Neurospora crassa OR74A: one gene and its partners. The protein of the gene in region 5 interacts with the protein of the main gene of each other region in a pairwise test. Links are inferred from orthologs where the notes say so. Each region holds a gene or a part of one and is shown on either strand. Other genes may lie near its edges.

Evidence for each region.
Region 1: the proteins of NCU07683 (region 5) and NCU06149 interact in binary tests that used the Saccharomyces cerevisiae proteins (3 or more experiments, as listed by UniProt). The link is inferred for Neurospora crassa OR74A from reciprocal best matches to the Saccharomyces cerevisiae genes LSM4 and DHH1.
Region 2: the proteins of NCU07683 (region 5) and NCU06678 interact in binary tests that used the Saccharomyces cerevisiae proteins (3 or more experiments, as listed by UniProt). The link is inferred for Neurospora crassa OR74A from reciprocal best matches to the Saccharomyces cerevisiae genes LSM4 and XRN1.
Region 3: the proteins of NCU07683 (region 5) and NCU06540 interact in binary tests that used the Saccharomyces cerevisiae proteins (3 or more experiments, as listed by UniProt). The link is inferred for Neurospora crassa OR74A from reciprocal best matches to the Saccharomyces cerevisiae genes LSM4 and PAT1.
Region 4: the proteins of NCU07683 (region 5) and NCU03778 interact in binary tests that used the Saccharomyces cerevisiae proteins (3 or more experiments, as listed by UniProt). The link is inferred for Neurospora crassa OR74A from reciprocal best matches to the Saccharomyces cerevisiae genes LSM4 and SMD2.

What each region holds. Positions count from the first base shown.
Region 1 is NC_026507.1:1,629,058-1,633,444, reverse strand, and holds the start of NCU06149 (ATP-dependent RNA helicase dhh-1), read right to left. Parts: upstream 3,031-4,387; 5' UTR 2,322-3,030; coding exon 2,278-2,321; intron 2,224-2,277; coding exon 558-2,223; 3' UTR 1-557. UniProt on the Saccharomyces cerevisiae protein: ATP-dependent RNA helicase involved in mRNA turnover, and more specifically in mRNA decapping by activating the decapping enzyme DCP1.
Region 2 is NC_026505.1:4,232,104-4,236,326, forward strand, and holds the start of NCU06678 (exonuclease Kem1), read right to left. Parts: upstream 2,870-4,223; 5' UTR 2,305-2,869; coding exon 2,300-2,304; intron 2,215-2,299; coding exon 2,121-2,214; intron 2,053-2,120; coding exon 1,746-2,052; intron 1,687-1,745; coding exon 1-1,686. UniProt on the Saccharomyces cerevisiae protein: Multifunctional protein that exhibits several independent functions at different levels of the cellular processes. 5'-3' exonuclease component of the nonsense-mediated mRNA decay (NMD) which is a highly conserved mRNA degradation pathway, an RNA surveillance system whose role is to identify and rid cells of mRNA with premature termination codons and thus prevents accumulation of potentially harmful truncated proteins.
Region 3 is NC_026504.1:1,577,840-1,582,099, forward strand, and holds the start of NCU06540 (topisomerase II associated protein), read right to left. Parts: upstream 3,060-4,260; 5' UTR 2,703-3,059; intron 2,271-2,702; 5' UTR 2,224-2,270; coding exon 29-2,223; intron 1-28. UniProt on the Saccharomyces cerevisiae protein: Activator of decapping that functions as a general and active mechanism of translational repression and required for P-body formation. First decay factor recruited to mRNA, at a time when the mRNA is still associated with translation factors.
Region 4 is NC_026505.1:2,382,223-2,385,947, reverse strand, and holds NCU03778 (small nuclear ribonucleoprotein Sm D2), read right to left. Parts: upstream 2,016-3,725; 5' UTR 1,804-2,015; coding exon 1,778-1,803; intron 1,679-1,777; coding exon 1,646-1,678; intron 1,498-1,645; coding exon 1,446-1,497; intron 1,369-1,445; coding exon 1,163-1,368; intron 1,078-1,162; coding exon 1,035-1,077; 3' UTR 546-1,034; downstream 1-545. Other genes in the region: dak-1 (dihydroxyacetone kinase 1), read left to right, coding at 1-462; NCU03777 (mitochondrial 3-hydroxyisobutyryl-CoA hydrolase), read left to right, coding at 2,768-2,890, 2,965-3,725. UniProt on the Saccharomyces cerevisiae protein: Plays a role in pre-mRNA splicing as a core component of the spliceosomal U1, U2, U4 and U5 small nuclear ribonucleoproteins (snRNPs), the building blocks of the spliceosome.
Region 5 is NC_026504.1:2,247,452-2,250,992, forward strand, and holds NCU07683 (small nuclear ribonucleoprotein), read right to left. Parts: upstream 2,242-3,541; 5' UTR 2,051-2,241; coding exon 2,048-2,050; intron 1,963-2,047; coding exon 1,822-1,962; intron 1,659-1,821; coding exon 1,608-1,658; intron 1,494-1,607; coding exon 1,296-1,493; 3' UTR 707-1,295; downstream 1-706. Other genes in the region: NCU07684 (hypothetical protein), read left to right, coding at 1-290. UniProt on the Saccharomyces cerevisiae protein: Component of LSm protein complexes, which are involved in RNA processing and may function in a chaperone-like manner. Component of the cytoplasmic LSM1-LSM7 complex which is involved in mRNA degradation by activating the decapping step.

The DNA of each region.
Region 1 (4,387 bases), on a different chromosome or scaffold from region 5:
AGGTGAAATTGGCTGGAAATCCGAGGAACGAGGAACTGTGTTGGGTATAAGGGATGGGAAGCGTTTCAATGGAGGAAAAAGAAATCTCGCAGCGCCTCATGGAGTATAAAGCCGCTTCCGCCATGAAGCCAACAAAGACGTATAAACCCCACACCACCCAAGACTCCGCGCCCATGCCGAAGCGTTGTAAGCCGTGAATGCGAACAGGATGAAGCTGGACCGTATCGAAAAATCCTTGAAATGGGGCAAACTCCAAAAGAGAATGTGTCGTAGTACAGTTCCGTGCATGTCGTTGAACTGTTTGCAGGGTCGGCAGAAAGAGTGTGATAGACGAGTCTGCCGTAGCGTAAACGCAAACCTGACAGGCCGAGGGACAACACTTGCCGTCATGGTAGCCCATTCACAGTTCGGGAGGAACAGAAAGAGATGGCCGAAAAAAAAGGACGACTAATATGTACAATTCAAAGACAAAACAACGTGGAAGCGATGCATGGTCGCACACCTCCTCACATTACCACATATCCCCCTCCTTCCAAAACTTGTTGGGAGAGTTTACCCTACTGGGCAGACAGTGGACCCTGAGGCTGGCCCTGACCTTGGGTACGAGGACCGCGCTGACCACCGTAGTTCTGGTTCTGACGGCCTCCCTGGCCCTGGAAACCACGTCCACGACCTCCGCGGCTGCTACCGGGCTGCCCGCGATTGTTCTGGTAGTTGGTGGGTCTGGGTTGGTTGTTGGAAGCACCTGTGCCATTTTGGCGACCGTTTTGCCCTTGCCAATCACCCTGGGCCTGGGGGATGGGTCTGTGAGGCTGTTGAGCTTGAGGATTGAAGCCAAGTTGTTGGTTGCCCTGTTGAGGCGGGAGCTGGTTTGACGGCTGTGTCTGTGTTGAGAAATGCTGTTGCTGTTGAGACTGTTGAGGCCTTTGCGATTGCTGCAATTGCTGTTGCGGCTGCTGGGCAATAGGCTTGAAGGTCGAGATGGGCCGGGGAATCGATTCAGGGTTCTCGTACACGTAGAGGCTCTTGTCAATGGTCTGAGGAATGGGCTGGATCTCTGTACCAAGATCGCGCTCAATGTTGTAAAGGTTGAATCTGTCATCCCAATTGATCAAGTTAATAGCAAGACCAAGGTGACCATAACGACCAGAACGACCAATACGGTGGAGGTACGTCTCGGCGTTCTTGGGGAAATCGAAGTTGATGACAACGTTCACTGCCTGAATGTCAATACCGCGGGTGAGGAGATCCGAGCAGACCAGGTTGCGGCAAACACCGTTGCGGAAGTCGTGGAAGACACGGTTTCTCGCCTGCTGAGCCATTTTGGCATGACTGTAGAAGCACGAGTATCCAAGCTCAGTGATCTTTTTGGCAAGCAGTTCGACGCGGTTGGTAGAGTTGCAGAAAATGATGGACTGGTTGATCTGCAGCTTGGAAAACAGAGTGTTGAGGCAGTGAACCTTTTGCTTCTCCTCAACAAAGGCATAGTATTGAGTGATACCGCGGAGCGTAAGCTCGTCCATGAGGTTGATCTCGTACGGGCTAGTCATGTTCTTGTCCGAGAAATCCTTGACCGAAAGAGGGAAAGTGGCGGAGAACAGCATGACCTGACGATCCTTGGGGTGGAACTGCAGGAGCTGCTCAATGACGGGGGTAAACTCTTGCGACAGGAGCTTATCAGCCTCGTCCATAATGAACATTGGGCACTCGCTGAGATCGGCCACCTGCTTGCCAGCTAGATCGAGGATACGACCTGGTGTTCCGACGACGATGTGTACGGGGTCCTGCAGACGCACAATGTCGTCCCGCAGGCCAGTTCCGCCGGTTGTCACCATGACGTTGATGCCGAGATGCTTGCCGAGCGTCTTGCAGACTTGGGATGTCTGCATGGCAAGCTCACGGGTGGGAACGAGAATAAGGCATTGGATCTTGGAGACCTTAGGGTTGATCTTGTTGAGGGCGGGAATGACGAAAGCGGCGGTCTTGCCGGTGCCGTTCTTTGCGCGTGCGAGGATGTCTCGGCCGGTGAGGGCAACGGGGATCGCTTCTTCCTGAATCGGGGACGGTTTCTCGAAGCCAGCCTCGAAAATGCCCATCAAGAGATCCCTGTCGTGTATGAAGTCTTCCCAATCCAGACCCCTCGTGTTTGTAACATCCTCGGTCTGTTGTCTTGTGTCCCTGGCAGGTAGGTTAAGTCCCTTTTTCCAGTCTTCCGGGCCTGAGCTATCAAAAACATGTCAGCTGGGTTTGGGACAGAAGGGAAGGCGGTCAACCTACCTCAGACTAGTAGCTTTCAACTGATCCGCTAGTTGGTCGGACATTTTGCCGGATGGTCGTTGTTCGGTTGTGGAACCCGTGGTCGAGGCTCAGATGTTGCAGAAAGGAGAGCGTAGAGCGCGATGGCTTCGTCTCCGGGTGTGTGTAGCGAAATGGACAAGTGGTTGACAAGGGGAGAGGAGCACTAGTTGTGGGTGGGAATCCCCTCTTTCTCTTTTGTTTTTCGGTCTGTTGACGGTGAGCAGAGCCAGACAGATGTAGCTTTGTAGGCGGAGGCGGAGGCCTGTCGCGAGCGGTCGTGGGGCAAAGATGAGACGGCGGTGGATGGGGATGGGGTCGCGAGGAGGCTCGTTGCGTGTGGGAGCACCAAGGACGTTCTCAGTCGTTTGATTTTGCCTGTATGCCTCGAAGTCAAGCGACGTCTTTTGTGGGAGAGGCTGCGAGGAATCCGATTCGGGGTCGACGGCTGGGACTTGATTGGCCTGTGAAAACTGAAGGGCGAATCAAAGCGACGTGTGCGATGCCGTTGGGAGAGTGGGACGAGATGGTGCTTTGCAGCGAGCTCAAAGTGTTTCTGTTCTGTTGTGATTGAAGTGTTGTCGTTGTTGTGGTGGTGGTGGTGGTCGTCGTCTGAAAGCGGGGCAGAAAGGCAGAGAGTTTGAGGGAAACTTCCGAAGCTTGGACGAGGCGAGGCGGTGCGGAAGTCGTGAATGATTCAGTGCTGTTTAGGACTGGGCGAGTGAGTGGACGAAGGAGCCGGAGCGTCCAGGTCCCAGGTCCAGTCTCCTCTCCTCGTCAAAACTGTTCACTCCACTGCCGAAAGGGTCTCGGATCACGTGTTCCCTTGATGTTCCCTGCCGAACCCTGCCTGCGCCTTCCAGTCCAGTTGTGTATCGCACAATCAGCAGCGTGTCCACCACGACGGGACCGAACGGGACCTCCATTTCCATACCTGCGTAGTGTAGTGTATCTCGTCTCATAATGGAAGGCGGCGGGGGGCGCCACTCATAGGCCACAAGTCGGCCGCGGCATCGCCTTCCAGTCCCACTTCAGGGGCAATTCGGTTTATACCTCTACTAGTGTACCTACACTATGACCGCTGCCTGTGCCTCCTCTCTGTTGGCCTGGGTAGTGTACACTGCATAGTAGTTCTGGTGGTGGCCCAGTGTACCTAGCGTACCTCTACATTGTATATATCGACGTCATCCGGCGCACTGGTGGGATATCGCGGGCGACATCCCGTCCATGGACGTCCTTCTGGGCTTTGTTACGTAGGTAGCCGAAATTGGACAAAGTAATGATCAAAGTTGACAAAAAGTTTGACAATTGGAAAACAGTTCGATATTTTCCAGCACGGTCAGATCCATGAATGTGTACATCATGCCCGTCTCTTCACTGCCGTCTTGCGTGCCCAGTGTCAAGTATGTACATAGGTACCTACAGAGAGGTACATTCGACTAAGTCTAGTAGTACCGCTTTTTTCAATTCGATTTGGATACCCCTTAGCTCCCCCTTTAGCGGGCTCGGCGGGCCACCTTACCCGATCTAGGTTTGTAAGCGAGCGCCCTACAGCTGACAGCCTCCTGCACACACCTTGTGCCAGGTGTAGCCACGTTCACATACCCACTCTGAGCGCCCAGAGGCTACAGTGGGCTTGCAGATGGCTTGCAGTTGGGCGCCAGCTTTACTGTAAAAAGGCTAGCCCCCCCTTAAGGGTACAGTCCCGGACCAAAAATAAAACACGTTTCTTTTTTACCCGCAAAAAGGGCCAAAACTCAACTCTATCACTCCCTAGTTTTCATGCCAACTACCTTTCAAAAGCAGATGCACTAAAGGAGGACAGAGTTAAATAGTTATACTCCCCAGATATATAAATGAAATTGACTTCATTGGTTTAGTAGTGTAATCACAATTGTTCAAATGAGAGTTTGAAAAGGATTTTTGGTTATAGTGCATTTAGAGTGCATTATAGTGGATAGAATCTGAGATACTTTTCGGAAAGTGACTTTAGTACTTACGCTTTTGCCCCCCGTTCGAGTGTATCTTTTCGGACAACTTGCATTAGTATCTCCTCTTAAAGTTATCTCTATTTAGAACGTGGAGTGAGTTT
Region 2 (4,223 bases), on a different chromosome or scaffold from region 5:
GGGGAATGGGCGGGAAGATTCCGACAAGGGAGGAAGGGTATTCAAAGTCTACCGAATCGGAATAAGTGAACTTGAGTGCGACGCCAAAATCGTTCCTCGACTTCTCAACGTCCGAGAGAAGTTCGTTCTTGGGGCCCATTGCTGCAAGCAGCCGCTTCTCGTCAATGAAGGGAATCTTGACAACGGCTTCCCAATCCATCTTCTTGCCATTCATGTCAAGCTCAAAGTCTCTTGGGTAGAAGTCGATGATGGGAGAATTGGGGTTTGTCATAAGATCCCAATATGCTGTCGGCACGATCTTTTTGCTGCGGTCTGGCAAGACACCCATCAGCTGCTCGTATGGCTTGAACGGCTGACCCATCTTGAAATTAAGGTCGGCTTTCAGGCCTTTCATGACATCGGAAATCAGGGGAGCGTAGTGGTAGCGATAGAACCAGGGCCAAGAAGCAATACCACGGTAGTAGTAGTAGAGCACCCATTGAAGACCCTGGACGTAATTCTCCGTCAACTTGCGGAGTTCGTCCTCCTTGTTCTCTGGGGTCCAATCCTCAAACTTCTCGGCATAGTACTTGTCTTTCCACTCTTGGAACTTTTGCTGGTATTTAACCTCCATGGCAGCCTTCGAGTCGGCCGCAGTTAAATCCAGGACTTGGGCGTTGTCGTACTTCTTGATGATACGGAGAACGGCTGACTGGGCTTCCTCGTCCTCTTCCGACTCGTCGTCTCTCTCGGGGAAGGACAGGATTAGGTGGCGGTGTCCCTCGTCATCTTCCTTAGTTGCCCAAGGAATGTGAGCAGTATCAGCCAAGTCTTGGACAAACTTGCGGTCCTCGGCCTTCAACTCGGTACCGAGGTCAAGCGTATTAGTGCTCCTATTCATAAGGAATTTCCTGATCTTCTGCTTCCAGAGATTCTTCTGGTTCGTGGTGACGATGAGCTTGCCCTTGGTCTTTGCCTTTGCTGTCTCTGCCTCGTTATCTTCAAGCATCTTCTTGGCCCGAAGCCAGCTTTGATCCTCATGTTCATGTTCGAAAAAGCGATACTCCTCCTTGCCGAGTTCTTCCAGAAGCAGGCCGAGTCTCTGGAGGTTGACCTTACCGCCCTCGTTGATATATCCGTCGCCGCGCGGAAGAATTTCTTTGTAGATCCTAAACATGAGCGAAAGAGCGCCTTCATTGATGTGAAGCCGCGGAAGGTTGGGAAGGAAGTCGTTTCCGACAAAGAATGCCATAAGAATGAAGTCGTCAATAACTTTTTCCATATCGAATGGAAAAGACATGGCTCCAGGTTTCTTGAGATCCTGGAACTCCAGCTCCAGGTACTCGCGGACTATGCAGAGATGCATCAAATAGAAGTTTTGCTCCTCCAGTCCCTTTGCCTTATGCTTAGACGGGCCGCGGCCAAAGGTAACTTCCTCGCGCAGAAGGCAGAAGTGAGGGTCATGGCTGAGGAGGCCAAGCATGATCAGATCGGCGTCGAGGCCATACAAACAGTGACGGACGTTCGCGTCATAGTCGAGTTGAGCGCGCGCATTGCGGATGTACTCCATGATCTTGTGCTCACCCTCACCAGGGACCTCGTGTCCAGACAAGACAATCTCGGGCTGTTGCCAGTCCCTGTCTTCCGAGACCTTTTTATGGATGAAATATCTCAGCTGTTGCGAGAGCTTGGCCATGAATTCGGTTCCTATGCAGCTAGTTAGCCTCCGGGGAAAACATTCAAGCGGGCACCAGCGCCAGACATACCAGGTGTGATGCAGTTACTGTCGAAAGGTTCTTCTTTGGGCAATTCCTTGCCCTCACGAATCGCCTTATCTCTAGCCTTCTCATTGTCCAGCGCGGTACGAAAACGACGAGCACGCTGTTGGTTCATCTTTGCGCGAGGGGCAACGCCATCTATAGCCATAAAGAAAAGCTTTTTGGGCTTGATTTTCCCGAAGAGATGTTCGATGTAGTTGAATATAGCAATGAACATCTCCTCCTCTGTCATGCGAAATTGTACATCGCTCGTGTCCTTATGGGTACAGTTGTGGATGATACCGTTCATGTCCAACTGAGCAAACCGGTTAGCTAGGCAAGTAACGCAAGACAGCCATCAGGCCTCGGGAGGGAGCAGCGAACATAAAGGCAGTCGAACTCGGGGATACGGTTCTCGGCGATGAGCTGAGAAATGGCGGGATACCGCTCCGAGAGCCATCTGAAGAACTTGGGAACACTGGACAAGAGGGGGTATTAGCCACACGCCTGAACAACGCGCGCGTATACGGCGAGGGAGGAGCTTTGATGTGGGAGTCATATACCCCATGTTGACTAAGTGGCCTGTGGTGCCGGACTAGATGTGTACACTACTAGAAGTTTGCGAAGGAGGTCTGAAATTGGGGCGCGCTGAGCGGTCGCAGGAGATGTCGCAGACGGGGAGTCTACTTAGTTACTGCTGTCAGGGGGCGAAGGAGAGGCGTCAAGCTGGTCGTTCAAATGCCGGCACTGAATAATAATGGCCGGGTTTCTAGATAGCGAAGCCTCCAGGGATCGCAATGGTGCAATAAACCGAGGGGGGACGAAGCAGCAAGGTCCAAGACTGAAGATGCTGTCTATGGAAGGGAAGAAGAGGAGTGTCCTTGGAGCAACCGACAGCGCCAATCGGGAAAAGAAGCTACTATAGTGCTAAGAAAAGCGGAAAGGTTGAGAATCCGAGGAGTGGCCTAGGACGTTGGCGGCCTATGTTCGAGATAGACGGAGGTAAAGGAAGAAGTGGGTGATGTCTACGAGATGGAACCGCAAGAGAAACAAAAGTGGAAGGTCCGTCAGAGGTGTGGATGGGACGGAGAAGGTGTCGGGTCCTGGGCTCCGGGCTGGCTAGGTGTTCAGGCTGTGACACACTGCAGTTTCTAGTTGGCCTCCGTTGCCCCACGCGGGTTGACTGTGTGCCTGGGGGCGGCGTGAGCGTCGGTCGTAGAGGTAGAGGTACCTCTAGAGCTAGGTACTAGCGCTCGGCCCGGCCAGGCCAGGCCAGTAGTGAGCGCTCCGCCACCTCATCAGGCTCCCGGCTGTCACTGTCAGCTCTCTCCCCGCACCAGCTACTACTGAACCTCAAGGTAACGAACCTCAAGCGAGCCTCCGCCCTCGACGAGCGGAACGGAACTGCCCTGGAGGGAATGGGGGGTCTGACAAAAGTGGGCGTAGCAGGCCTTTATAGTATAAAACGCTTGAGCAGGGGTTGTGGGCTACAACATCCTTACACAATATTGTTTCTTACTGTAATCTACTAGATAATTGAATATTGTTGTATTGAAGTTGGTTTTATTTTACAATACGTAGTTTTAATTAATAGTACAACGACTATTAACGCGGTATTGTATACAAAACGGAATTAACCGTTCAACAGCGCACAAAAGTACGACAACAGCGAACTGTACCACAACAATACGACCCGAACTACAAAATATACAACATAATAAATATACTCACTTAAATTGCTAATTGCAAGCTAATATTCTTATTAATATAATAATTGTTTAATTATATTTATTTATTCAACAATTAATATCTATTCTAAGTAACAAAAGCCTTACAATTATTTCACAGCAATTTTCAATCAATATTACACTTATATTGATAGAGGTAGGTAGTAGGGGAGAAAGCGCTATATTAAATTACTTATCTAAGCTACCTAAGTGGCGGGTATTCTTTATAGAAGTAATTCCTATTATTCCCTTTCTAATAATTGTAAATTAAAACTCTAACCTAGGTATATAAGAAAATTAGAGTACGGGTACCGTATAGGTAGCCAATAAGAATATTCACCTCAGGCTACCCCAAATACGCCTCCTTTAGGACTATTTCGATATAATAGTATAAAATATATATTCCTTAATATAAATATAACAATAAGAAAGTATAACGAAAAAAAAATAAAAAACTTTAATTCCGGCTCTAAATAAAGACAACACATGAAACTAGTTGTAAATAATAACCTAAGGATAATAATATAAAAAAAGAAAAAAAAAAAAAAGAAAAAAAAAATAACCTAAGGAAGATCGAGGGGTACTATAGCCCAATACGCATATAATTACAAGCTTTACTTATACTAACCATTAGCAACGAACATCCTCTGGAACTATTCCTCCCTAGAGAGATAAAACTTATCGAGGTATTCTATTGGGAATTCGAACCCAGGCGAAGGCATTCTATACTAGCCACAACTATCTTTTAAAGTCCAATTTC
Region 3 (4,260 bases), about 670 kb from region 5:
ATGATACCATGAATATAGAGGAACTTACCAAGAACGCCAATCCTGTTCACTGCCTCCGCCATTGTGCTTGATAAGCTCCGCCCGACTGAGAATCATGGTAAGCATCGACGCGCCAATTCTGCTCTTGGCGATGACGTCCACGTTGCGCGTGCACACAAGACCAAGGATGGCGGCAACAAGATCGAGGCCGAGTTCGTTCATAAACGTGAACAGCGTGGTTACTATAGCAGCCGAGAACAGCTCAATGTTTTCACGCATAGCGGCGTTGAACTGGATGTCATCAGTTGTAACCTGAGCTTCTCGGACAACGTCGAGTTGGTCGAGATTCACGACAATGCGTGTGAAAATGGTAATTCTTTGCTCGTGGTTCGTGTGACGGAAGATGCGCGGTATGGCTTTCTTGCCCTTACTGTAACTGAGAAGGGCCATGAAGGGGTGGATGCGGCCTGGCTGGTCGTGATCCTGCACCCTCAGAGCCTTCCAAAGCTGCTCATTCAACGCCTGTCCCTCGTTACTCCATGCAAAGACCTTGGCAAGAGCTTCTTGATCGTCCTCGGCAGGCGCCATAGGCATGTTGCGTTCGTGGTCTTCCATCTTCATAAGTGTAGTGTATACCAGCTCGAGGGCCCTCAGTTCGTCCTTCTTGTCCCGGCCATTAACAGGATGCGGTGCCTTCTTCACATCGCTGGCGCTGTCGTTACGCTTGATGTTGAGAAGCGGCTTCGGGGTCTTGGCGTTGCTGAAGGAAATCTTGCCCAAGCTACCTTCAATAACAAGCTGCTTATTCTTGGGCTTGTTCTTGGCCGCCTCAACAGCACGCTGGACCTGTTGTTCCATCCTCTGCATATGGTTTTCAGGACCCCTGTTATGGCGGCGCATACCTCCTTGACGGCTTCCTGTCTGAAACAGATAAGTCTGAGCGAACTGGTTCAGAGGCTGGCTGGGGTGCTGGCGATGGCCAGCCTGGATCTGACTATGGACTTGATAGTAAAAGTCCTCGGCGAGTGACTCGTCTGTGCCGTGTTCATTGGGATTTCCAGTGGCTGCGACAAGCTGCTGAAGCTGGATCCGGGTGATGAAATTCTTGTCCTGTGGCGTCATGATACCATTGTCGCGAGACATTTGGAAGATCTTGTGGTTGCGCTTGGCGCGCTTAGCTTCCTGTTCAAGATACGCAGCCTTTTCCTCCTCCGAGAGCTGAGCCAGCTGGGCAGGATGAAGAATCATAGGGGGCTGTCGCGGAAGAGAGCCTTGTTGCCTGTGGCCCTGGTGAGCGGACTGAGGACCGGACGGAGGCGTAGGGTGAACAGGCAGCCCGATCTTAGCCGCGTCGCCTGAAAGACGGTTGGGGTTCTGCAGGATCTGAGTAGGCTGCTGAGGAACAGCGGGTTGCTGATGCTGTTGAATAGCGGGCGGTTGGGAAGAGGGCTGGGCTGGCGTAGGAGGCTTCGAGTGAGGCCGCTGAAGAATTGTCATGGGATGTCCCTGCGGTTGATGGTACAGAGGTTCAACGACACCGGCTTGGAAGTGAGCCTGCGGCTGGTTCTGAGCTTGGTGCTGGTAGAGGTAAGCCTGTTCATGTGGAATTTGATGGGGCTGATGCTGAGGAGCGGGAGATGGGGTGGCCGCCTTAGCCTGGGCGCGCATCTGAGCCTCAACCTCCTCAAGACTCAGCATCTTGCGGCCCCCAGACGGCGCGCTAGGGACGGCAGGTTGAGCAGGCGGCGGCGGTTGCTTCTTGGGTGCGACACCCCAGAGAGCAGCGTCAACCTGAAGATCCTCGATCGGCTGCTCGTGGTATTTTTCGTAGCCGGTCCTGGCAGGTCTAACTGGAGCCTGCGCGAAATAGTTGTACGAGGGTCCGGCGATGGGCGTATAGGCCGATGGCTGCGCGACAGGCTGGGGAGCCTTGGCAGCTGGTTGTTGGCGGTTGAAACGAACATTTTCCTCTTCAATGACGTTCGCGACCTTGGCGGTGTGGCCAAAGAAGTCAAAGTCTTTGCCTACAGGACCCGGCTCGCCAGTATCGCCGCCAAAAGTATCATCATTGAAGGCATCGTCGGTCTCATCCAGCTGGTCACCCAAGCCGTCATAAGTGTCCTCGAAGTCGATCTCTTCGGCTTCCTCGTCCCGGTTGGCTAGGCTGGCAAAGGGATCGTGAGCCTGGGAGAAGCCGGGAGCGGCGGTATTATGGCGAGACTGGTCGAAGTTGAAGAAAGACATATTGGCGATGCCTGTTGGGTTTATGGAAAATTTCTACAGAGGTATCACTATTGTAGGGTCAGTATACGTTGAGCGAAGAAAGATCGTTGCGGCGCAAATCCGGGTGCGATGTTGAGCTTTGGCTGATTGGCAAGGGCACAGAGGAAAATGAGGGGCAAAGCAAAAGACGAGACCCTGGTTGGTGAGTGGGACGAGAAGTATAAAGAAGGAACAGCCGTGACGCAGGTTCACGAAGTTCTGGGTGGAAGGGGAAACAGGAAGGGCTTGAAGGTCCAGTGGTCAAACAGCCCGAGCCAAGCAGAGGGGCGACTCGATGGATGTTCCACCTAGCTGGGGGTGGTGAGCTGTCTCTTGAAGCGCGGGGCAACAACAACGACATGGAAGATGGAGAATTGGGACATGGGAGCCCAACTTTCATCCCATGACCTTGCCATACCGAGGTTGCAAGCACGCTGTAGAGAAATCAAAGAACAACGTACAGAACGATATGTAAAGATGTTGGTATGATCGGTTTGGTCAAGCACCATGATGCTGCGATGCGCGACGTGAAGGGAAAGGAGACGTGTCGACGGCGGTGCGACTCGTGCAAAGGAGCGGAGCAGAGCTTGTCAGGGCGGCAACAAATACTCAGCGCTCGGCTTGGAAATATTAAAACAGAGAAGCAAAGAAGGCTGTGAACTAACGACCGGAAGCGCAACTGGGTGCGCCGCGGTGAAGATGTGGATGCGGTTGCTCGGAGTGGTAGCTTGATGGCAGCGCAAAAGGCGACAAGAGACCGACGCAGATGGATGAAGTCAGGCCAACTCCAACTCAGAAGCCAGATCAGGGAGCTGTGGACCAATCGCCCCCGAGGGCCAATGGAGCCTGGCAACAGGTGGGCGGGCGGCGGTAGGCCTGACGCTTTGACACACCACCCTCCTGTCTTGCCGTTCGTTGACTGACGATGGGACTTCCAAGGCCGCGGCCGGGGGAGTGATTGCCACGGTTGGGCGGCAACCAGAGGCCCATTGCCTGCCGGGCTGTGGGATCCTCAACCGCCGGCAAGAATGTCCATTCCATCCTTCCAGTCTTGCAAGTTGTTTTATCCGATGAGCCAATCGGCGATACCCGCCCGCTAGTTGTGATGCGTAACAGTGATCAACTGGAGGCTACAACATGAGACCCGGACGGGACGGCAACCTCATGGTCAACATTTAACGCCAAGCCGACAACCAAATTTCAAGCTCGAGATATCGATTTTGGCAAGAAAGCTGAAGGGCAAGGACAGTAGCTCAGGCATCCATTTTGCTGCCGTGACATCCGTGACTAAACGCAGCTGTTTAGACTGTGCTTCTAAGTATGTGAATTCGCCATTCCGATGCAGGTGAAGCGGAAGCGCGGACATGGACAGAGGCAAACATGGCATGGCTATCTTAAGGCTGTTTTCTTGACAGGTGACTTTACTGTACATAGTATGCAGTCGAACTTGAATTATATCAGGGGCCTGGTATTTCCCTGTTGTTTCTTTTGAGAGGGAGGTATCATGGCCATCACTCAAGTCGGTGTTCTTCGCCATCTTGAAGAACTACTCCGATCGGAGGAGCAATGCGGAGGGAGCAGGCCGGCAGCAGATCATATTAACCCAAGTATCATAGTATGAGCTAATCAGCCACTTCTCAGCGTGGTAAAAGGATCAAGAAGCTCAAGACATACCCCTCCGTTGACGGATGCGACATGTGAACTGAAGTCGTCGTAGAGGTAGGTAGTGCCCCTGGAAGTTGACGACGCCCGTCTCAAGGGGGTTTTTGTCCCTTACTAACAGGGCCACGCTAGAACCGTCACGGCCCGCAATAATGGGGTACCTGCGGATACAGGTGACGACGAAGCTGTGGGGGCACCGAGGGCACCCTAATGTCTTTCCCTGCCGCCTACCCCCGCGGCCAATCTTTTGGTCCTGGCCGGACGGAAACATTGAGGTGCTCAGGGGAATGCACCGCAAGCGACCATCAGGAACGGGGAATGCGATAGCTTCTGGTAGGTATGTAGATATTATTTAGG
Region 4 (3,725 bases), on a different chromosome or scaffold from region 5:
CTCTACGGCATCTTCCTCAACGCTCTGGTCGCCTCTCTCCACACTGTCGGTGGAGGGGAGTCGGACAAGAAAGCTGCTGATGAAAATGCCTGGGCCGCAGCCCTCAAACTGAGCTGTGAGGCCCTGTCCAAGTACACGCCCGCTCGTCCCGGTGACCGCACCCTGGTTGATGCCCTCTATCCCTTTGTCGATGCGCTCGAAAAGACCGGTGATGTGAAGAAGGCGGCCGAGGCTGCCAAGCAGGGAGCTGAGGGCACCAAGGGTATGAAGGCCAAGTTGGGCCGCACCGTCTACATTGGCGGGTCCGGATTCGAGCAGGTGCCGGATCCGGGCGCTTGGGGATTGGCCAAGTTCTTCCTTGGACTGGCTGGAATTGAAAAGGCTGATGATTCCAGTGCTAAGCAGGCCAAGGGATCGGATGATGGATGGGAGGAGGTTACAAGAGAGGCGGAATTGCCGTAAGAATTGGTGCTGTATGTGATCTCGATATACCCCTAGGTAGTTAGTTTGCACCACCATTTCAATGACGTACCAGGAACACCAATACAAATCATCCCGTTGCTTGTCGTTAAAAAGCACGAGAAAACATGACCGCGTCTGCGAAAACCTAAACACGGTCTGGGTATTCTGTTCGATCAAGTTACCAGAAATGAAAGATAAAAAGTTAAACAAAACCAAATACACGTTTGAACGCCGAGCTCACACTAGTTTTCCCTTTGTATGACCTTCCTAATAGCCCCTGAAAATCTGCTTGGGTTTCTCTTCTTTCCTCTCGTTCCTGCGCGGCGCCTTTTCACGGGGCGTTTTGAATTGCTTTCGTGGTTGTGTCGTCATCATGGTCGATCGAGCGGTTGAGTAGTAGTAAGGTGATATAGTCCGCATGTCTCTCGATTCAGTCGACCAACAATAGGTACCCTTCCCGGGCTCATCCCCACTCCATTCGAGCCATTAACCCTAAGTTGTGCTGGCGCGTGTCTTCGCCGTGCAAGTGAAATAAACCTCCAACCTATACATTTTGCCGTGCTATTCGTGAACTAGCTGAGGAGGACAAGGATGACGGAGTCGCCTCTCAGGAACCTGCCAGGAAAGTGAAACATGTCAGCCATTGATCTTCGCTTCTCCTGGGCGAGAGAAACAACAGATGAAAAGGAAGTGCACAAACATCTTGCTGATAAACCTGTCCTTGTTTACGGGCTTGCCCTTCTTGCCATTGGCCAGTCGGGGCGTCTCGGTCCACATCTCCTTGACGTTCTCCAGCACCATGTTCATGTGGCGATCGAAAGCCTTGACGCGCGCAAGGATCTTGCGCCCATTGCGGACGGAAATGAGGACTTGGGAGTGGCTGCGGACGGCGGTCTGGAGGATGGACTGCCAAAAAGGGTGTCATATTAGTCGCTGCTCCGTGTCGAAGGGGTGGTAGATCAAGGCTTATGGGGCATATGTACCAGAGGACCGGCGGAGAACTCGTGCTCTTCGAGGAGAGAAACTTCGTATTCACTGTATCAGACGAGTTGGTTAGCTTTGTGATTTGGCTGGGCGGGCGTCGTGGTCTTGGGTCGCAAAGAGGAGGAGCTGGGAGCAGCAGGGCGGGCGAGATGACGATGGTAACAGAGGGAGGTGATGTTGACAAGAGGATATAACGTACGTAAGCTCATTGCGCGGCTTCGTGAGAAGCTCCCTGTATAGTAGACAGTTGTTAGTCAAGTTGGTTTCCTTGAAGCGTCCATGGGCTGCCCGCGCACATGGGTTGATGCTGGAGAGTGGGATAGCTACTGACTGAATCTTTGCATCCGCTGAAGCCATGACGATGGTGTTTTGGTCTAGAGTTGAATTGGAGTGGTACTGAAATGTAGGAGGGGCAAATGAGTTGTAGTTTTGTCTTTGTATCAAAAATGGTTGTTGACGTCGAGTGGTTGCTTCGCGTGGTATGGGTTGGTGGTGTACGGTAGAAGCCTGGACAATAGTTGCTGTAATGGATGCTATCGCTATCTTCAATCCACGACGGGAAATGTTGCAGCAGCGGAGGGCCAGGCGCGGCGGCGACTCGGAGCGTGGAGCAGCTACAGCACACGCGCCAAGCTTTTCTGGGAACAGAACCGTCTTCAAAGTTTGGCGATTGGATGACAAGCTCACGGTGGATCCCAATGCGAAAGGCTGAGGACCGCTCCGGTGACAGGTGCTGCCAGCCCCGCCGAACCCGACATGCTCCCCCGGACAGCCGGGACATCGGGTTTCCAGTGAGCGGAGGGCCCGAGCGTCGCTTCTGGAAAATGACAAGTTTGAATGGATAGAGGTATCATCGGCCGGAGGATATTCCAGCTTCTAGCGATAGCGGCGGGGATTCGGCAGGTTCCACAGCTACCTCTACACTATGTATTAGCTCCCCCGTACCTAACCCCGCCCCGGGGATTGCCAGGCGCGGTGCCCTTGAAAATCAATTGAAGCTGGAGCTCCATTTCGCGTTGAATTCCAGCAAAAAGTGGATTTGCAGATACTCTCGCTATCACTTATCACGGTTCCTGCATCCACGCGGCATTCAGATCATTGGTGATTGTTCTCCCGTTTTCCCTTTCCCAGCCCAGGAAAACGAGTCCCGAAAAAAAGTGCCCGAGTCCCTTGGCCGGTCTATGATGCAACAACGGTGCTAAACAGCCTCGGGGTGGATTTTGGACTTAGTATTTTTCTTCCATATTGACCCTGGGTCTTGTTATTCCATTCCTATTCTAGACAAAGCCAGCCAGCCAGCCAATTACCGAAGTGTACATCGATGTTGGTCTCCAAGTCCATTGCCAGCCGCGCCGGCTTGGCTTCTGCTGTTGCTTCTCGCAGCTGCCGACCAAGCTTCACCGCGATGCCGCTCAGAGCCAAAGTCCTGGGCCAGCAGGCCCCAGTAAGACGCTCCTTGGGAAGACAAAAGCCATGGACACGGACACAGCTAACACGCTCGCCGCCCCCTCCTCCCAGATCTCGACCCAAGCCGCCGCCGAGTTGTTCAAGCCCGTCGAGGGTGACGAGCCCGAGGATGTCCTCTTCAACAGTCTATATAATCTCCGCTCCGTCGAGCTCAACCGCCCAGCCAAGTACAACGCCCTCAATGGCTCCATGATCCGCAAGATCGCGCCCCGTCTCCTCGAATGGGAACGCTCCGATATGGCCAACGTCATCGTCATCAAGGGCTCCGGAGAGAAGGCCTTCTGCGCCGGTGGTGATGTTGCCGCGCTGGCCAAGCAGAACGCCGAGGGCCCCGAGGGCGTCAAGAAATCCGTCGACTATTTCGGCCTCGAATACAAGCTCAACCACCTGATTTCCACCTACACCAGGCCTTACGTGGCTTTCCTCGACGGCATTACCATGGGAGGTGGTGTTGGTCTCAGCATCCACGCCCCCTTCAGAATTGCGACCGAGCGCACTGTCTTCGCCATGCCCGAGACCAAGATTGGCTTCTTCCCCGACGTCGGCGCCTCTTTCTTCCTCCCCAGGATGCCTGGCCAGGTCGGCCCCTACCTCGGTCTCACCAGCGCCCTGCTGAAGGGTGTCCAGGTCTACTACGCCGGCATTGCCACCCACTACCTTCACTCGAGCAGTCTGCCTGCCCTGGAATCCCGTCTTGCCGAGCTTACCCCCCGGGACTACTGGACCATAGAACAGCGCCTTAGCGTCATCAACGACACCATCGAAGAGTTCTCCACCGGTGTCCCCTACGACGAGAATATCGAAATTGGCGG
Region 5 (3,541 bases):
GGAATTCTTCGAGGCGCATGTGGATCAGTCACCCGACTTTGGTCCAGCTGCTCAAGCGCTGCTTTAACGAGATGGATCCCAGAGCGTGGGCAGTTGTTGATGTGGCCAGGGAGAGGAAGATCGACCTCGAGATTGAGATCAAGAAGTTGCTTGCCGAGATGCCAAAGGAGACAGTTGTGTCGGATCAAAGAGTGCAAGAAGAGACCACGATGATGGGCGCCGTGCGTCCAGCGTATGAAGAGGCTTTGGATGCTGGCGATCTCAAAACATCGAGCGCATCTGCAGCTTGATAAAGAAAAGAAAAAAGAGAAAAAAAAAAGAAGAATTACTGAAATACTCAAAAGCATCGGAATGGAGATTATATAACTAGTTCAATGGCTTGCTAGAATCTGGTAGTGGTCATTATAAGAGAATCAGGCGAGTGAACAAATCAACTAAAACAACTCACAAGGTTGTATAGTGTAGCGGTTATCACTCCGGATTCTGATTTCCTTCAGAACATTCCGGCAACCCCGGTTCGATTCCGGGTACGACCTCAACTTTTGAGTTTTTTCCTCTAATTTCTTTTTTTTTCTTCCTTCTTTCTTCTTTTTCTTCTTTTTTTTTTTTTTTTTTTTTTTTTTTTTTGGAGTAACTCCTTCCATAGTTGTAGCCGCTCCGTACCACCTGTTTCCTTGCCATGGGCAATTATTTCGTTGCCTCAAAAGCTGCAACAAGTCGCCCGCGAAGTGCATCATTTTTGTGTGACATGGAGGTCTCAGGACGCCGCCAGTTTTGTAATCCTTTCAATGCTTGTTGATAACGGAAAAGAATCTCTCAAATGACGATAATGCGATACAATGTGCCTTTTGTGTTAGGTGCAAGAGAAAATCAACCAGGAACTTCAAGCTTGGGTATCTTTTGCTTTAAAATAGTCATATCCTTCGTGCCGTAAATTCCATGCTGATGCATCGAACACCTAGTCCGGTCTATGTGTCCGAGCCAGGCCTCTTCCAAAAAGCCCACACGATGACTGCCCATGAACCATCATGCATGTCTGTCGCTGGAGATGGTCTTCGTGCCCCATTCAACCCCGCCTGGGTTTTGTGTGAAAGCCCATTCGGACCGTGCAAGATGCAGCCCATGTTTCTTTCTTGGCTGATGCTCTCCATCCCTTTCCTCTCACCCCTACGCACAATCGCGGCGGCCCCTCGCGCCTCTCGTTCATCGATCGTATCATTATCAAAAGGCCGTACTTCCCTACGTTGGGTGGTCGTTGCGCCTCGCTCGCTGTCCCAAGAACATGGAATTCCACCTCATGCGCCCCTGCCACGGCCGCGGCCTCCCCTGTGACCACCTCTGTCGCCCCCTCCTCGTCCGCCACGGCCGCCACGGCCGCCATAATCGCCTCTGTTCTGTCCGCCGCCGCGGCCGCCTCTGTGTCCACCGTGTTGACTGTGTTGCTGCTCCCTTGCAATGTCGATCACGTCGTCCGGTACTCGAAGATATTTGATCTGTTTGTCCCCATAACCATTAGAAACCGCTGGTCGATTGATCGTTGACTCCTTTCCTGGCAAGAGGCAAGAAGAGAGAGAAAAGGAGGGGGAGGGGACAATGTCGAGACTTACGTTGTTTCCCTTGACGTAAACCTCTGGTAACCTCACAAACTTATCGCCTTCCTATTACGTCATGTAAAGTTCGTTGGTAAGCTGCCTTGTCCCCGACATTCTCTTCGACGTGTTGGATTGCTTGTTTCATCCACTCGCTCATCATCATCATCATCACTGTGCATCATCGCTCGAACGAAGGGACGGAGGGACGGAGGTAGGAGGTAGCACTAACCGGGCTGGTCTGAACAACCTCCCTTAGCGTCAGATTCATCCATGTATCGCATTGGATCAAGTGGCCGTTGAGCGTTTCGCCGTTCTTGAGCTCAACGAGCATGGGATGGCCTTGCGCCGCGGTGAGGATGCCTAACGGTAGCTGTTTGTTGCGAGGGAGCAAAAGGTTAGTACATTTCCAAGAGGGATACCGAAGTGACGCTATATGCAATGAGAATTCGACGTACCATAGTAGTGAGTTTGGAAATCGACAGCCGTTAGTTAGGCTGCCTATTGTTGTTGCGACGGAGACCAAAAGGAGAAGTTGACGTGTTGGATGTAGTGACCAAAGGGAAGTGCGCCCGCGACGGGAAGCCTGTCCTGGCGCCGTGGCGTAGCTGGAGCTTGCCGGCCGCAACAGCTTATGGAGTAACAAATGTAGCGTGGAGCAATGACATGGTTTACCAGGATATCTGGGAGCCGAAAATCAAATACAGTCGAACCCCCTGAAACTGCATACTCCAGATTCTGCATATATGCTAGTTAGTGCATAGAATTTCCAGGTCTGAATCCGCCATTTTTGCCCAAGCCCCGCCTCCAGAAACTGCATATACGCCATTTAGTGCATGGATTTTGGCGGTCTGGATTACATGCAGTTTCAGGGGGTTCGACTGTAGCCAACCGGCAACCCGAGATACACTATACTTAGTGTACAGAAAAGGTGGGACAGCCAAAAAGGAATAATATCCCACGTATATTTGTTATCTAAAGCTTCAGAGTAGCAGTAAGTAAAAAAAAAACGGGTTCTCACTGCAATTGGAAATACTGTTATCCAGATCCAAGTAATTTCAAGAAAAGTGCGGGAGCAAAGAGACATCGAGTCAAAAAGAGTGGACGAGCTGGGAATCGAACCCAGGACCTTTCGCATGCTGTGAAACATGCTAAGCGAACGCTCTACCAACTGAGCCACACGCCCTGAATGAGTAATGCAGTGTTTGCGCTTTGCGCCCTATAGCTGGAGCTCAAAGTTAGAACTCCCCGCAGTCTTCTGTAACTCATGGGCATGTCAAGCGCCTATGTTGAATCAGTTTGCCATATCCCTTGAGGAGAGTTCCTATCAAACGACGCTTAAGCTTAGTTGAGGCTCCCGAGTTGAATATAGAAAATGATAGCCGGACTAATTGACCTCCAACATTTAAAAGTTGAATAAGAAGTCTCGGACACTAATGAGACATTAGACTTTACCTCCATATCTAGTGTATATTTGTCGTAGGTAGAGTGCGTGTTATGGTACTAGCAGACTGTAGTAATTCATTGCCAAAAAGTCACCCGCCAGTCCTTATTGCAGCTCTTGTTGAACAGTGGACTGATAAAGATAGTTTGGAACTTGAGGCTATAGCACTATCATATGTATCGTTTCGAAGGGATTTGTTGAGCCTTGTAATAAGTGGGATCTAACAAGGAAACGCATCCTGCTCTTCACTGATTTTGCTGTTTATCTCATTATCTGCCGTGTCTCCTGTCTTCTCTGAGCCCAGTGTCCTAGTGAACTCGCGCCCCTCAGAGTAACGGTAAGTGTCACAGTTTGAGGATTTCTCGCATATTGGACCGTTGATTTAATGACATGTAGAACGCCCTACACAAACCTTCTTTTTCGATGGCTCAGTTGGTTTTGACAACGCGCCCTGGCCGTGTTCATTATAGTCGAGAACAAGACCTGGTAGAAACAAGGGGGAAAGAGG